Linked DNA regions of Mytilus edulis. The protein of the gene in region 1 interacts with the protein of each later gene in a pairwise test. Links are inferred from orthologs where the notes say so. Each region holds a gene or a part of one and is shown on either strand. Other genes may lie near its edges. The genes, in order: BRCA1-associated protein-like and high mobility group protein 20A-like.

Region 1 (9,266 bases):
AAACAATTTTTAAGCTAAAAAATGTGTTTCCATTTCTGTGTAAAACTATTTACTTAATACAATTTGAATGACTCACAAAGATCTGTGTTCTCATTTCATTTTAGGGACTAAAAGTGATACATCTAAAAACAATTTACAGCAGTTGTCATTTGTTTATGTAATTTATACGTTTCTCGTTTGTTTTATTTTATATAGATTAGACCGTTGGTTTTCCCATTTGAATGGTTTTACACTAGTAATTTTGGGGCCCTTTATAGCTTGTTGTTAGGTGTGAGCCAAGGCTCCATGTTGAAGGCCGTACATTGACCTGTAATGGTTTACTTTTTTTAAATTGTCATTTGGATGGAGAGTTGTCTCATTGGCACTCACACCACATCTTCCTATATCTATATAGGACTTTATTTCAATACCTCCATTTTAGTAATTTTCCTGGCCAGTTTTTCATTGTGATGTATCTTTAATGCTTCCTTGTTTAAGTCTAAAGCCTCTTTGATGTTACCCTGCTCCACCATGTTCCTAGCACCAGATATCATCTGATTGTAGATCTCTTCGTCCTCTTCAGACAGGTTCTCACCAGGAGTGTCTGTAGAACTTGACCTTGACCTGTCTCCTTTAATATAAGTAAAAATGTCAATCAGAGTCATACCAAAACTAGTTTTAATAATGTCTGGTGTATATTGTATGTCATAGTTGTAAATATTTGCATTCCCAATAAATATTAATTTAAATACACCATTTCAGAAACCCCATATGAACCGCATTATATGTACTTCTACACTTATTTCCTATCATTAAATTGTTCTGTAGACGCCATTCTAAGTGGTGAAACATGTAGACCATAATAAAGCATTTCCTTGCAGTAATTCAGGATTTTTTTGTCTTTTTAAAGTAATAAATACACCATTGTTTGATAAAAAAAATAATAAGTGTTGTGAATCTTTTTAGTTTTAATTGTGCAAAATTCATTTCTTTTATTTTGTTGTAAAAAATTAACCATCTCCATAAAACCACACACATTTAAGTGCATGCTACAACAATCCAATGCACTAATAACTTTATCATTTAGTTATATTTATAAGTAATCTAACATATATATGAAAAGTAATATATTGTTTTCATTTTTAAAAGCTCATGATTGTTCTTTAAACTCATATACAGATTGTAATTATAATAACTGGGGGCAAGTGATAGACTTTTCTAGAACCAAAAACTTTATTTTAAAGGTCAAGGTGCAGATAAGAAGAGGGTTAAATCACTATAGTTACCTGTATCTCCATCTTCACCTGTTTCTTTAAGGTAGGCCTGGAAAAACATCAAAATGTTATTCAATTAAATCTTTAAATATTATAAAATATTTTTATACAATGTAAGATGATTTCTGACCAACAAAATACCAGGTAAATAAGCTTAAGTCTAGTCAACATTAAATGTAACACAAGTATTAATGTTATCATCTTCAGAAATGCTTTCAGAGCTGATCGATTCTATTCCAAGAGACAAAAATAACATCAAGGGAAAATAAGAAACATATCAAGAGATTTAAACAGCAAAATAATTCACTATTTTCAATAGGTTTATAAAGGAATGTAACTGGATTTACTGACAGCTTCAAAATACTTCTTAGTAAACACAGAGTCTGTCCAACACATACCTCCATCTTTGCGATCTTTTTGGCTAGTTTTTCATGGTAGTGCATCTGAAGTGCCTGTCTGTATAAATCTAAGGCCTCCTTTATTTTCCTTTCTGCTGTTAATTGTTTAGCATTTGTGATCAACTCTGTAAATATTTCCTGTTCTTCTTGACTCATTTCTGGAAAATGAAAAAAAAAGCTTATCCCTTATTCCCATGATTTTCACAGATATAGAGTTGTGCTTTTTTTTAAATTCTTTTTGTAAATGTACATTCTTTTAAGCACCTCTTGTTATACAACTTAAATTTGTAAAGTGGAGAGTTGAGTCAATAAAAAGAAAGTTTAACAATGTCACTTACTGACTTAGTAATGTGCCTTCATCAGTCATTAGTCAGGAATTCTTTTTGTTTATTGCCCTTCCAGAAATTTTGTATTATACACCTTTGAACGTCTCTATTAAATGTGTTCAGAATCTGCCAAGACTGAGGTAATTTAAAGCTTGACATAATTTGGTATTATAGGTATATAAACTGTTGAGAGAATATTTGGGAAATAGTACATAAAATATTAATTGTTGTTTCATTATTAGTATTTGAACACAGACATGCTATTATGTGTTATTGGGAAAAATTATAGAATGTATTGCTTTCCATTAAAAAAAATCTATTTGTTTTCTAATTTCTGAGAGAACAGTTTGAAAGTATTGAATGCTAATTTTGAAAATACTTGATGCCAGATTGTGGAAAACAAAGATTAAACAATTTAAATCCTGACATGGCTAACATAGACAGATATATGATACACATAATACATGTTAAACTACCTTTAGTATCCTGTGATATTGTTACTTTTGATAAACCATCCCCTGTTTCTTGTACTTCCTGGTCCATTATTCTAAAATATCAAAAATTCATATTTAATGTTGAGCCATTTGTTTTGAGGACATGTGGTATAATGAATAAAGGTTATTATAGTCATAAAAATTTATTTTTTCAGAAAAAATACAGGCATACGACAGGTTTTGAACACCAGCTATTTTCATATAGGTTAATCAAGTAAAAGTAAACTTATACTCTGCCAATCTCTGGTAAGGTTTTAACAGTAACTGTGAAGTAGATAACTTGAACACAATTAATATACACTCCTTTGACTTTGTAATAAATTTCACATTCATTTGTAAATTGTAGTCAAATTTAATGACGCTTTTTCTGGCATATTTTCTGGCATACAAATGTATATATCTAGATAATAAAACCTTATTACCATAGCTCCACTGGAAATAATCTTAGATGCATGATTTTTTTATTATTTGGGTAGTTCTTATACTACCCTATTATCACGACAAAGATTGAAGTCCAAATAATTATGAAGTCATATTAATGTGTCACTGAAAAAATTTAAGTAGCCTTTGAAAACATCATAATTATCAGTCAAGGGTTTAACTTAAATAAGTTATCAGAGAAAAATAACATGCATGTGTTATTACAGACACTTTCATGAGTTGTCTACTCTTTTTTCTGTTATCTGTAATAACATATTTTTATTATTCGTTAAATAAATCATAAATATTTAATGTGTAATGAGCACTTGGGAATTCTTAAAACTTTGCGCAGTAGCTTAATATATTACCTTGATAACTAATTTTATAATTCCATTAAAACAATTTTGATCAACCATGTTAAACCAATGAGACAAGGCTTTTAAGGACAAACTAAGCTGTAATAAAATTGTTGAAGGCCGTACAGTGACCTATAGTTGTTAATGTCCGCATCATTTTGGTCACTTGTGGACAGTTGTCTCATTGGCAATCATACCACATTTTCTTTTTTTGTATTAGTTATTACAAGCATGTAACTTACTATATGAGAGTAAATGAGACACTTGGAATCTGGTGCAGTGCCTCATTACAAGCTCTGATCATCATTTCTTACAATGAATTGAAATACATTGTTATGCAAGTTAGAGCAAAGCCTTTAAAGAGATATAGAAGAATATATTTTCTGTAATAACATAGGTGTACTATGCATGATTGGTAAACTATGAGCTGTTATATCTTTGCAAAGATAAGTACACTTAAAGAAAATTATAATATCAATAGAACTACAGAAAAATTTAACAAAATAAAGGTTGTATATTTTCCCTTTGAAACATGTAACATACATGTTATCACAGTTTTTTGATATTTTAGCCGACAATAACAACATGTATGTTATTTTTCTCTAATAACTTATTTAAGTTAGACCCTTGACTGATTATGTAACCGGAGAGCATGAATTTCATTACAAATTGTTTGTCTCCATTGGGACTCAATCCCAGGACTTAGAACTGTGTTACAAGACAGCATGTTAACCGACAGAGCTAAAGAAAAACTTCCTTTAGCTAAACTGCTTACATCTGACTAAGTATCTACCACATTTGTTAAGGGAAAGCATTTCCCCCATCTCAAAAGACATCATACCATTATGACTTTGACAACACATACCCTAGCTAGAATTCCTTTCTAACCACCATGGGTTTTGTAGTTGGGGACCAATGTAACTTGAATGCATGAATTTCATTACAAAATTGTTTATTTCCTCAAGGACTCAAATCCGGGACCTAGGTGTTACAAGGCAGCTTGTTAACCGACTGAGCGAAAGAAGTACTTCCTTAGCTCAACTGTTTCCGGCTGACTAAGTACATGTAATGATGTATCTACCACATTTTCTAAGGGAAGCAATCCCGTCACAAATACTTAGACAAGTATTCGGAAAGTATAATTTTCATAAATCATTCCATCAAATGTTAAAATACAACTTACAAGCAAGGACCAAAACTCATGAAGTGGGTCTCATTGGGGTCTAAGCGTGATGCAGAATTGCTGATTTTTTGTAAACATCGTAAACGTGAAAGTCAAAATTATTGTGCTATGAAAAGAGGAAATGAAGTCTAGCAGGAAATGGGAAATTACAAATAAATGAGAATTGCTTACGTACATATTGAAGTTGGATACTGGAATCTGACGAAACAGTAAGCGGGAACCGTGATCCGAACCCCCGTGTCTGGCCATCGATGAACTCCCCAATCAATTAAATTTGGAAGGTCTGAAAGTAAGTTGGCTTAAATAGGGCATATATGAACTAATGCTTTTGATATTTTTCATTAGAAATCTGCCATTACGAAGATGTTCTTGCTCATTTACTGATTTAGTAAAAAAATATTTTTTATGTCTCAACTCATTTTTATTTTATTTTATTTTTTTAGACAAATGGGTGAATGACAGCAGTCATAAAGGTGCTTACTCTATAGATTTTGCGTTGAGTGTATATGGATTTAATATGTCTGGTTGATTAAAACAAATTTTAGCAAAAGTATTTGCGCCAGACTGATATTCACATTTTCTGATGTTATTTTTCGTTTTTGAAAGTTCCGCCAACAGGAAGTGACGTATTCTAATCCTTGTTTTGGTCGAAATCAAGTTGATTTATCGTACAAACAAGTTTTGCATGATGGTTATTGCTTTTATATAGACACAAACATTAACAGGCGAATAAAACAAAACACTAGTCCCATATATTATCAAGAATGACCAATAAACTTTACTACAGGAATGTGAGTTAAATATCCGGAAATATATTTTCCGTCATTGTTTTTCTTACAGGTGCTCTCTTTTTTTAAAGTTAAAAAAGTAATATTCTTGGAAAAAAATAAAAATAAGAAGGATTTGTTCTGACAAGGACTTTGATAGTCCTACTAAAAAAATCCCATGATTCTAACATTCAGATTTTAATGAATTTCACATGTCTGAATCAATCTCTTTGTGTATTCTGAGGCTTGAAATAGAAAATGATCACGAAATTCCAAAATCTTTCAGTTACTGTGGTAAGCTAATGTTCATAAAATAACTGAATATTTAAAGAAGTAAAAAAATCTGTCCCACATTTGATATGAAATTGACTGTAGGCTTCCATGTCTTTGTATCCAATATATGTAAAAAAAATTTTAGAAGAAGTGGTATGGTTACCAATGTCTATGGGACAACTCTCCAAAAGAGACCAAATGACAGAAATTAACAACTATAGGTCACCATACGGCCTTCAACAATGATCAAAGCCCAAACCACAGAGTCGGCTATGAAGGGCCTGAAATGACAATGTAAAACAATCCAAATAGGGAAAAACTTAAGGGCAGATTTTATGTACAGAAAATGAATGAAAAAACAAATATGTACATGTAACACATACACAAATGACAACCACTGAATTACAGGCTCCTGACTTGAGACAGGCACATACATGTCGCGAGGTTAAACATGTAAGCGGGATCCCAAAACTTCCTCTAACCTGGGACAGTGGGACATGTATACCAGTACAATATAAGAACGAACTGAAAAAAATCAGTTGAAAAATGCTTAACTCATCAAATAGATCAAAATACAAATCAGTTCCAAATTCCAGCAATACTACTTCTATTTGTCTGCATTACTGGACATCACAAAGGTTCCTGTAAAATTCTTAAATCTTAAACGAAAATGGCTGACATCACAAAGGAAAAGTGATTGTTTTATGAAGTCATTAGTTCTTCAAGTGCTGCAGATTCTCAACTAGTAAAATAATGATCTATTGCTAAAATGTATCTTTTACAGACCTGCCAACTATCCCAATTGTCATGCTTTAATCCTTACCCTGATAACGGGATTGTAAAACAAGTCAAAATCTTGAGTTTTACAGGATCTTCACAAAATTTAAAAATTTGTTGGTAACTGATTTTGAAGTATCTGACCAATCTATAAGTTTATTTATGACAAGTTAATCAATAGTAAAAGGTTGAAGACCTGGATCTTTCATACTTTGCATATACATGTAAATTGTTGTCAGTTTCCCTATCAAATGTCTGTTTTTTTCTCCAGGCAACTTAAAAGTGGTGTTTAACACACCAACAATCAATCATTTTCATTGTTCATTATTCAATGTTAAGTTTTCCTGGTTAAGTTCGTTTCTAAGAAAAAATAAACAATAGGTCAACTTATTTGGGAAAATGTTTGGTGTATGGAATGATTGTAAGGCTATATTGTTGCTGGAGCAATGATGATTTAAGTTACCAAAGAATTTTGAAAATTGTTAAATCTTGTAGGCTAATACACCTTATCGCTAATCCTGGCTGGCCCGGCCACTTGAAGTTTTGACGTCAACAACAGTCACTTTTCCATTATGGCGTCAGATCTTTTGTTTTATGACGTCAACATTTTACGGGAACCTGTGCGTGTCCAGCAATGGCGGACAAATAGCGATAAGGTGTTTACAACTTACTTTATAGCAAAGTTAGATCGCTATCAAAATTGGTATAAGGGAGACAACTTGTAATTTACAAGGCTATATATATCGGGATTGGGTGTTTTTAAGCTCCTGATTTTGGGATTGATCCTTACGTGATCCGGGGATATATTTTTCGAATTCGGGATATGAAGTTTCTTTAAATTCTGCATCTCGGGATTTCATGGTTTTAAGCCCGGTATTTCGGGATTAGGACAACTCCGACCACCCCTCAAATTAGCCTTATAGTCGGTCTTGGTCATTTATACAAGATTCATATCCTACCATTGACAGGTTAATAAGGCTCTCAAAAGAAAAAGCACTGATGGATTGTCCTAGAAGCATATTTTATTAGACTAATAATGGTCTATATATAAACAGTTACATTTATTTCATGTTTGAAACGGTGCAAATTTTTAATTTGATTTGACTTTTACCAAAAGAAGCATTGTAGCAAAGGAGAAGAATAATTGTGGTCTGAGGCCAGAAACACGAAATAATTGAATTTAACAGAAAGGAAACAAATATCGGACTTTGGAAAAAGGGAGAGAGCTTTTCATACCTTTTATGAAATTCTCCATACATAATATCTTTGACAAAAAATTATCCTACAATAGTTCACAAGCTGTATATGCCCGCGATTTCGCGGGTGTGCTCTAGTATATATAAACAGATGTCTAGTTTTGATGGACTTCTGCTGGCAGATTACAATACAGATCTCCATGTCTTACAACCTATAGAAACAGAATATGATTTTGTATTTAAGCACATGATATCCACATCTTGTAGATTAAGAATCTGATGTTTGTATTTCAGCATCAGATCTCCATAGTGCTAATATAAAATCTAGGGATACAGCATCATATGCTTCAGTTGTAAAAACATCAGGACCAAGTTCTAGTGAAGAAAAGTCGCCTGTAGAGTTGAACCTCACTTGTAGAGGACAGCGTGGGTTTGGTGACTTCACAATAGAATCTTATTTCTCAGGTAAATTGTATAAAACAAATACTTGCATAGTTGTCATGGTTGTAGGCGAAATTGACTGTTCTGAGAAGTCACATTGGATGGTATTTTATCTGATACCATGGATACTTGTAAATCAAAAATTTTCAAATGTATTTTATCATGTTTATTGCAGTTAATAGTGTTTCATTTAGTAACCATAAGTGAAGTTTTTTTTTTATGATATTTATTAGTACGGTAGTTATAAATTTGTGTCTCAAATAATGCAACAAATGGATGTAACCCATTTTTACACAACAACAAATGAATGTAACCTGTTTTTACAAAACAACAAATGAATGTAACCCATTTTTACACAACAAATGAATGTAACTCATTTTTACACAACAACAAATGAATGTAAACCATTTTAACACAACAACAAATGAATGTAACCTGTTTTTACACAACAACAAATGAATGCAACCCATTTTTACACAACAAATGAATGTAACTCATTTTTACACAACAACAAATGAATGTAAACCATTTTAACACAACAACAAATGAATGTAACCCATTTTTACACAACAACAAATTAGGAAGGTTGTATTATGTTTATGGTGTGTTGTTTGTTGTTATCTTCAATATGGAACTTTATCTGCCCTTTTTCACAAAGCCTTTCAAAAAAGTTGACAATTGGTATTGATGTTTAGGACTGTACGTGGCTTTAACTGTTTCTTAGAAAAGGGGCAAAAGGAGTTTTAAGAGTTTTCACTCTATATACATGTATACAAACATGTATATTTATCCTTAATAAAAAAAAAATCATCAGCTTTATAATAATTGAATTGATTTTGGCATACATCTTCAGGTTTCTAAGGTATGTGAGTTTCAGTGGGATTTTTGTGGTTGTGGAAAAACTATGTTTACATGGTTCATCATGTTCATGTGGTACACATAATCAAATCACTTTTTTGGTTTACTCATGCCATATTATATTCCTCTTATATCTGAATGGCTAATGTCTCCAACACCTACATATTAACTACAATATGTGAATTCAATTTTAAACCTACAAGAATGAATTATTCATATTTTCTACATTGCAGTGAATTTTGAAACCAAATCTGAAATGAAAGCAGCTGAAGACAAGACTGACAGACATACTGAAGACTTTAGACCAATTAAAGATGGTCAGTCTCCTGGTCCATCATCAGATGACCACAGACCCAGTAGCAGTCAGAGTACAAGGCCTAAAAGTCATACACCACCACTGAAGTCTCCACATATGATATACTTTTATTCTGGAAATCCAATGGTAGAAAAGACTAGAGGAATACTTCATCTTTATAAAGACGAGTAAATATTTATTTCATTGTTTACTAGTTGAACATTTAATA
Region 2 (8,986 bases), on another chromosome or scaffold:
TATAATCTAACTTTCCCTAATCAATATTGAAGAAAAGTTTCTTACACATGCATTAAAAATCCTTTTCTTTTTTGTGGACAATATCTCAAATAATGTAACAGGTAACAAACAAGTCACTGTGTTTGGTAGGACAATTTTACATGTGTATCACCTGATTTCTAAGGTGAATTTGCATGGAATACATGCATGCGCCGGAATGTCTTTAGTCAGGAGCCTCTGGCCTTTGTTAGTCTTGTATTATTTTTAATTTTAGTTTCTTATGTACAATTTGGAGTTTAGTAAGGCAAGCATTATCACTTAACTAGTATATATATTTGTTTAGGGGCCAGCTGAAGGACACCTCAGAGTGCTGGATTTTTTCGCTGCATTGAAGACCTGTTGGTGACCTTCTGTTGTTGTCTGCTCTATGGTCATGTTGTTGTCTCTTTGACACAATCCACATTTCCATTCTCAATTTTATTGATGGAAGAAAGTTTTTTTTTGATTAATTGATAAATAACCTTTTTATTTTCTGAACATTGCAAGACTTACAAGAAATAAAAAATAATTTTTCACATCATTGATTTTCTTTAAAATAAAAATTTAGTTGATCATGTTTAAGGATAATTGATTCATGTGTATTTTCATCTCTGAAGTTTGATAATCAAATCCTCAACCTCCATTAAAGTCAACCACTGTACATGATATTGTAAAGATTTTTTCAATTTACGTCCAATATTTCCTCCATGTGTACACTTTGTGCTAAATATGTAATAAAAAACCTTGTAAACTTAAGAGTAATGTATTGAGATATTGATACTCTTTATTGGTAGAATTATCAGAACTTATACCTGTGTAAAGATATTTTTACTAGCAGAGTTTATTTAAATATTTTTTTAAATTGTATCAATTTGAAATACTGCAATTTGTATGATTTTGGGAAAGGGGTGCACAAGAAGGAAGGATGGGTTTGTATTCAAATTCTAAAAAAAAATCATTACTTTTTTAAAAGGTATAATAAAGTTCTGATGTTGTCTTTATTATTCCCCTGCTTAGAGAAGCATGATTTAGTGATGTTTTTTTCAGTTGTTTCATTCATTTGCTTGTATGATCATTCATGGATGTGCTCATTACAAATTGTCTGCCATTTTAAGAAGACTCATCTTTAAGGAATGACTGGGTTCCTATTAATCCAGCAAGTATCTTATATTTTATTCATCCAATTGTCTTCCTGTATTTAAAAGATACTTTATAAAATTATATGTCTATTAATTTCAATTAGTTTATTCCTATCTGAAACTGTTTCTGACAAAAAAGAAAACATGATATAAGTATGTTGACCACACATCTTTGTTCTGACTTTCTTGAAATATACACTGTTCTTACCATGCTTAAGTTTTATATTTTGATGGTGAAGTCAAGTTTGCACGAAAAATATATGTCTTTAGATATTTTCTGTCTATAATATTGTTTTATTTATTATAGAATGTGTGTATCTGATAGCCTTATGTCATCAATAAAATTCTGTGTCATGGTTCAATTTGTTATTGGATGTCCGTCCATAAAATACTTATTTATTTTTTAATATGTATAATGATAGAATGTTTAACAAAGAAATTGTTATAGCCCTTGATTGTCTTTTATATTAAACCCCACTCAATTTGCAATCACCTTGTTCCTCTGTTTGACCAGAAAATATGTTTGATATGTCTGTACAATGACTACATAATTATTGGAATTGGTAAACATAACAAACTGTTCAATTTGAAAGACATGTTTTTCCACAGAGCTTTCGATATGCATTATCAAGGCATATCATTGGTTCTTGGCACAGCTGTTTGTTTGGATGTGTTAGACACACCCTTTTTGTTGACCTATATTCAATGTGATAAATGAATTAAAATATTTTGTCATACATTTCTTTGTTGAGCAACAGGCATTTCTCATTTGCTTATTGTATCTGTCAGAAAACTATCTGCTTGTTCTTTTTTGATACTCTGAACTACAATAGGAGTATAGCTAGCACAACAAGATTTGCAACCTTTTGTTTATTTTTTTTAGTTTAATGTTTGTACTTGAAATCTGTTACATTTGTGACAGAGTGACTGCCCATGATTATATGTATTTCTTAACTTAGGTTATATATATGATGTTTTATATTTATATATATTTGTATATTTTGATTACTGCTGAACAACATACTGCTGAATAATCTTAATATGACCTTGGTTAACTCGAGGGCTAAAAGTTATCCATGTGTATTTAAATTTACAAAACAAAGAGCAAGGGGATCATATCAAAATGCTTTAAATGAAATATACTATGTTTTCCTCAAAAAGTGAAAATCTATATGCATTGATTTTATAATTTTCATTATCACTATTTTGGGAGTATGGTATTCAGGCTTGCTTTGATGTCTTTTTAGATGTGTTTTGCAGAGTTACAGGTCTTTTATTGTCAAGAAATTAGAAAATATTTTATTTTCGTTAATACCAGCTTTCTTAAATTAAAAAAAAAAATGGAATCGTCCTGGATACAGGATTATGTTGTTTTCTAAAATTCTCGTTAATGTCAATCTCAAAATCCATATAACTGTTAGTACCACAGATATGATTTTATGCTATTAATTTAACATTTTGTGTATTGTAATTGTGAACTTCAGTTGTAGTGCTTTAAACAAATGTGTATTAATCTTTCTGTTTTTGTGCCAATAATACTTATCAAACATGTTAAAAACATTCTCTTATAATTCAACTTGTAGAAAATTGGTTAAACCTTAAATATGTTGTCTGACCCGAAGTGATATTATATTGTAAACAATATTACTGAAAGACTAATAAATGTGATATTTTATTTCTATAATATTTATTTGATTTATTGCTTTAAATGATTAAAGAATTATTTTAATGAATTATTTACAATAAATGATATTTTAAGATAAATTTGACTTTGTTTAAATCAATTTGTATAACAGCTACAAAAGTAAAGATGAAATAAGCTCACAGTATAATTGCAAAGATGAAAAGAAACCAATTAAAAAAGATCAGTTAAAGAAGAAACATTACTACACGGACAATACCATAGCCAGTAGAAAAAAGACAAAAACACTAGAGTGGGGGGCCCATATTCGCCGGGGACACAATTTCACCGTTTTATGATTTTGAGGTGTTAACACTTCACATGATGGCTGAAATGGAAGAATTATGCCGATAAATTATAATTTTATAACAAATATGATTATTTTTTAAACTTAAACAAAATTACAACACTTACTGCAAAAGATAGAAAAACAGACAACGATTTTCGGTCAATTTCCTGAATGAAAAACAGGATTTTCAAAGATTTTTTTCTTAGCATTTTTTTGACTGATTGGCCTAAATTTCTGTTTTTTTACACCTTTGAAATGTCTGCTGTTCATCTATAATGAAATTTATATGATGAATATTATATAAAGCTGCAGTTTTTTGGTTTTAAATAGATGTGTAAAAACGGCGAATATGTGTCCCCCATTGACAAAACTTCAGGAAATTTCAAACACCTTTTAATCTAACTTTACAGATGATTATTTTCAAACAAACATGTTTTCAAGCTTAGGAATGTTTTGCATTTGAAGTTATCTTCATATAGAAATATCAGTATACTTCAAAAACATATAGACCTGAACATAAACTGTAGAAAACATCGAAAGATATGGCGAAAATGAGCACCCCACTCTATCATAAACAAAACTTTACACAGAAACATAAATAACATTATAGGCAGTAAAAGCTAGACAAATACACAGTCAGCCATAAGAATTCATTACAACAAATTGCTTTTGGTATTCATAAAGGTTTTAAAGACATTACTTCACCATTATCTTTAAAACATCTTTTACATTTCTCTATACGCATTAACTCTTTATCAACAAATGTCACTTTCACTATATACAATAACCTTACATCAATTATAAAGCTATTAAGTTCATAAATTGTCCTTAATTTTTTTTTAAGCTTAATACATATTTTCTTATGACAAAGACTGTAAAGAGGCTGTTGTTGATCATTAATTTTGTCTGGTGTTGCTGATAAACAACTTGCCAATTTGTAGTTTGAAGCAAAATAAAAATATTATGTAGTCTTTCAAAAGTAAATTTTTGTCTTGGCATTTGAAAAAGATCCTGTGTTCCTGTTTATGATGTTGCTGTCCTTTGAGCCTGCCTTCATTATCTAATTACTAATGATTAAGAGCATGGCATAGCGTAACGACACCAGTCTATTGAAAATAGGAAGGTAGCTAGGGGGATTTAAGAGGGCAGGTGGCCTGGCCCCCTTATGGAGGTTCATGATTATATAATAAATGTATAAACCTTTTCAAAATTATCACTCCATACATTGGCTTTGTAAGCCTGCTCTTCCTTTTTCAAAATCCAAAATCCACCCCTGGTAGCAAACATTTGAATTTTCTGTAAGCAAATATTTCAATTTTTATGAGATGTTTAAAAACTTTATTCATTAAAATTTACTGGACTAATACATAACAGTATATTTGGGTGAAATGCACTAATTTTTCAAAGAATATTGGATCGACACATTAAAAGGGCATTGGCTGTCAATTTCAAGTTCACGAATTTGACTGAAAATCTCATATTCTTTTTAACATTCTTAAACATATATCCAATTTATGAAAAGTCTAAAATAAACAATTTACAAGGCATGGGCTCAATAATATGTACCATAGTTTTGTTTGTATTTTAGTCTAGAGGCCATCTAACTATTGAAGACCTTTGAAGACATATAAGCAATATAAACATATATTTAGATATAAATAGAAAGTGAACTCGTCACAATTGGATTTTTGTATGTCTGTTTAATTTCACATTGAAGTTTAAGAAAATGTGTTAATCATAATTTTTACCTGTATAAAAATGAGTTTTGGGGGATGGAATCAGTCAAACAAATAGTTTACCTTAGTTTCACTTTCAATGTTGACATTCTTTTCCTTTTTATAACTAACATGCATAATTCATAGTGATCCATCTCTTTCTATGGTGTTAATTGATGGTCACACAAATCTGAGACTTCTATAACACATAGTAGTCTCAGCATGAATACAAATACAATGAGCTCGAATTTTTCACTTGCAAGTGAATAACTCATCATGATGTTTCTTAGTTTATTTTTACCAAATTGAACCATACTGAGTGATAAAGGCAAATTATTATTTCAAAATTTCACATTGACATAAGTTGGGGGATTTTTTTTTTTATATATGTATACATCTTGCAGCATCTTACTTAAATGCTATCAACTAAATTACCATTTTCAATGCCTCTCATTTGGGGGCGTCATCCTGGACCACTGAAATTCACTTTAGCATCTCTTATATGAAAAAATGTTTTAAAGAAATCATATAATAAAGGAAAAGGGAGATAACATTTTTTTCTAGGCCATTCTTGTGCGTTGCATTTTATAAATTTAAATTGTCATTGGTTGTACCTTTTTCGGGTTGTCTCGGGGTTTACCATAAAATTTTATTCAGAAAGCATTTTGGCCATTGTTTATTTTGTTCCCGTACTTTATTTTTGAACGTAATTTTCTTTATTATAAAAAGGTATGTACTGTTAGAATTTGATATGACATGCATATTTGCGTTGCTCTGAACATGAATGTATGTAACGTGACGGTACCCAAATTGCACCTATTTTGACAGTTTTTTCATCTACGTTTTTTTATGATAAAGACAACAATGTCTATTCTGTGTTTATTTTGTAGCCGTATCCTTCTTTATCAAAAAGGTACACCAATTTGATTTTTATTCCATATGGAAGCATAGAAAAACTGGTCTAAACTGACCTCCAAACCAGCAATGATTCTGAAATGAGGAGTACCCAAATTGCATCCATGCTTTAATTCACATCGTCAAAAGTCTAATAACAGAGCTTTTGTTTAATTTCTTCAAATATTTCGAACAATTGGATATTAGTACCTGCTTAATCTTCATTTTTTTTTAAATGGATACTTGTAACATATTGTATTTGCTCATTTTAAAAAGATGACGTCGCAGTACATTTTGCTTTTTCAGTAAACACTTTATCTGTTGATAAATACTGTGAACGTTTTGGGCATATCTTAAAAGTTTTACCCTTGCTGAAAGATGTGCTTAGTATCAAATCATAAAAATACAAATTGTTTAGTCTCTATGAAATCTTGTAAGATTTCCGCTGCTATTTTTGCTAAATAGGTGCAATTTGGGTACTCGGTGCAATTTGGGTACCGTTACGTTAGGGTTTTACCCTCCTTTTATAATGAACACCACTTACTTGCTGTAAAGAAAAATATTAAACCAAAAAGTAAACCTGTTACCAAACAAAAGTGTCAAAACAAAAAACCACGATGGCCATGTGGTACATGCCTAAAAGCAGTAACCTGGAATCAAAAGGCACTATGCTGCGACAGCTGCGATACTTGGTTTCACATTAACTGTCAGAGTATTCCATCTCACATCTACGAGTGTATGAATGCTAGTAATATTAGCTGGGAATGCACAAATTGTGGAATGCCAAATTTCTCCACTAGCTTATTCAATAACCAATCAAGCATATCATTAAATTCTAGTAGTAACTGGAGTATGAGTGATACATCACTCAATAACAGCCTAGGTGCTCCTCAGGCATCTTCATCGCCTATGGTTAAGACTAAATCAAAACCGAAAGTCAAAACATCACAAAAAGCCACTACTAAAAATCAAAAACCTATCAGGATACTTAACCTAAACTTTCAATCGATACGAAATAAAAAAGAAGATCTCAATCAGTTAATTGATTCATCTAAACCTGATATAATCATAGGCACTGAAACATGGCTAGACAAAAATATATCATCATATGAATTCTTTCCATCAGAACTATTTAATGTCTATAGATCAGACAGACCACCAAAAAAAAATAACCAAAGTCATGGAGGTGTACTTATTGCTATTAATAAAGAACTTATAAGCACAGAAGTAAGCGAACTTAAAACTGACTGTGAAATAGTTTGGTCTCAAATAAACATGACTGGTAGTAAGAACTTGTTAATAGGTGCATATTACAGACCACCATCAGATAAAGGAACATCTTTACAACAACTAGAACTATCACTTAGTAGAATCAACCAATCATCAAATACTAATATCATGATTGGTGGTGACTTTAACCTAGGTCATATTGACTGGTCTATACCTCAGGTCATACCGGGTAAACCGGACGCTGAACATCATAATAAACTTTTAGAATTACTAGAAAATTTTAACCTTCAACGAATAGTTAATACACCAACTAGAAAAGAAAGAATATTAGACTTAATCCTAGTTAACAATCCAACAACTGTTAACAAAGTAAACACACTTCCACCACTAGGACTAAGTGACCATGACATCGTCTACATAGAAATTGACACTTGGCTTCGTAAAATCAGACAACAACCTAGAAAAATACTCAAATACGACAAAGCGAACTGGGAAAACATAGAAGCAGACCTTCAAAAAACACTCGAAGAGCTTACTGTTATGAATAACAACAACAACAGTACTATAAACGAAATGTGGGATTTATTTAAAAACAACATCACAAAATCAATAGATACAAACATCCCACATAAAATGTTAACATATAAACACCGACTTCCCTGGGTGCACAACACACTCAGAAAAATGATAAATAAAAAGAATAAATTGTACTCTAAAATGAAAAAGGACAAAAAGCATATACTTAAATATAAAAAACTTAAACAACAAGTCCAACAAGAACAGAGACGTGCCTATTGTACATACATAGAAAAAATGATCCTTGACCTTCCAACAAATGACCCTGACCAAAGTTACAGCAACCAATCAAAACCGAAAAAACTCTTTTCTTACATTAAATCCATCAGAACTGACAATAGTGGAGTTGCTCCCCTGAAAAAAGAGGGACAATTAACAACTGATACAAAACAAAAAGCCAACATTTTAAATGAGCAATTCCAATCAGTCTTTACCACCGAAACAGCAAGTAATATGCCTGATAAAGGACCAAGTCCTCATCCAGTCATTCCATCACTCACAATTACAACACCTGGCATACAAAAACTCTTAAACAACATCAATCCGCACAAAGCCACTGGCCCAGATAACATCAGCGGCAGAGTTCTAAAACAACTTCAAAACATAACGGCACCTATCCTCACCATTATTTTCCAGAAATCGCTTACATCTGGCTGTATACCATCTGACTGGAAACATGCAAATGTCGCACCAGCATACAAAAAAGGTGAAAAATACAACGCAGTTAACTACAGACCAATCTCTCTCACTTGTATCAGTTGCAAACTAATGGAACATGTCATAACAAAACATTTAATTAATCACTTAGAAAAAAACAATTTATTATACGACCTCCAGCACGGCTTCAGACACTCTAGATCATGTGAAACACAACTTCTATCTTTTATACAAGAACTGGCTTCAAATTCAGACAATAACACCCAAACAGACCTTGTAATTATGGACTTTGCCAAAGCCTTTGACAAAGTCCCACATCAAAGACTCTTATACAAACTACACTTCTATGGAATACAAAATGAAACACTTAACTGGATCTCTGCCTTTTTATCAAACCGCACACACACAGTTGTCCTGGATGGAGAGTCATCAGACGTTGCTCCAGTTACTTCTGGTGTCCCACAGGGAACAGTTCTGGGTCCAGTTCTATTCCTGGTTTACATAAACGACCTACCAGAATATTTGAAAACCAGTAAACTCAGACTGTTCGCCGACGACAGCATCATTTACAAAAGCATCAAATCTAAAGAAGATTGTGATAGTCTTCAGGAAGATCTTGATGCTGCTGCAAAGTGGGAAGAAGACTGGCTGATGGCTTTCCATCCAGACAAATGTACAGTTCTCACAGCCTCAAATAAGAAAAATACAATTAAAAAAGACTACATTCTCCACAGTCATACACTAGAATCTGTCTCCGCAGCTAAATATCTTGGTATAACACTGCAAT

What was found.
Region 2: the proteins of BRCA1-associated protein-like (region 1) and high mobility group protein 20A-like interact in a two-hybrid assay, tested with the Homo sapiens proteins (2 studies listed by BioGRID and IntAct). The link is inferred for Mytilus edulis from reciprocal best matches to the Homo sapiens genes BRAP and HMG20A.

Annotation. Positions count from the first base shown.
Region 1 is NC_092349.1:84,999,360-85,008,625, forward strand, and holds the start of BRCA1-associated protein-like, read left to right. Parts: upstream 1-5,268; 5' UTR 5,269-5,409; coding exon 5,410-5,491; intron 5,492-7,737; coding exon 7,738-7,908; intron 7,909-8,975; coding exon 8,976-9,225; intron 9,226-9,266. Other genes in the region: DNA excision repair protein ERCC-6-like, read right to left, coding at 411-610, 1,266-1,302, 1,652-1,809, 2,454-2,520. UniProt on the Homo sapiens protein: Negatively regulates MAP kinase activation by limiting the formation of Raf/MEK complexes probably by inactivation of the KSR1 scaffold protein.
Region 2 is NC_092345.1:104,507,204-104,516,189, reverse strand, and holds the start of high mobility group protein 20A-like, read left to right. Parts: upstream 1-5,422; 5' UTR 5,423-5,571; intron 5,572-8,986. UniProt on the Homo sapiens protein: Plays a role in neuronal differentiation as chromatin-associated protein. Acts as inhibitor of HMG20B. Overcomes the repressive effects of the neuronal silencer REST and induces the activation of neuronal-specific genes.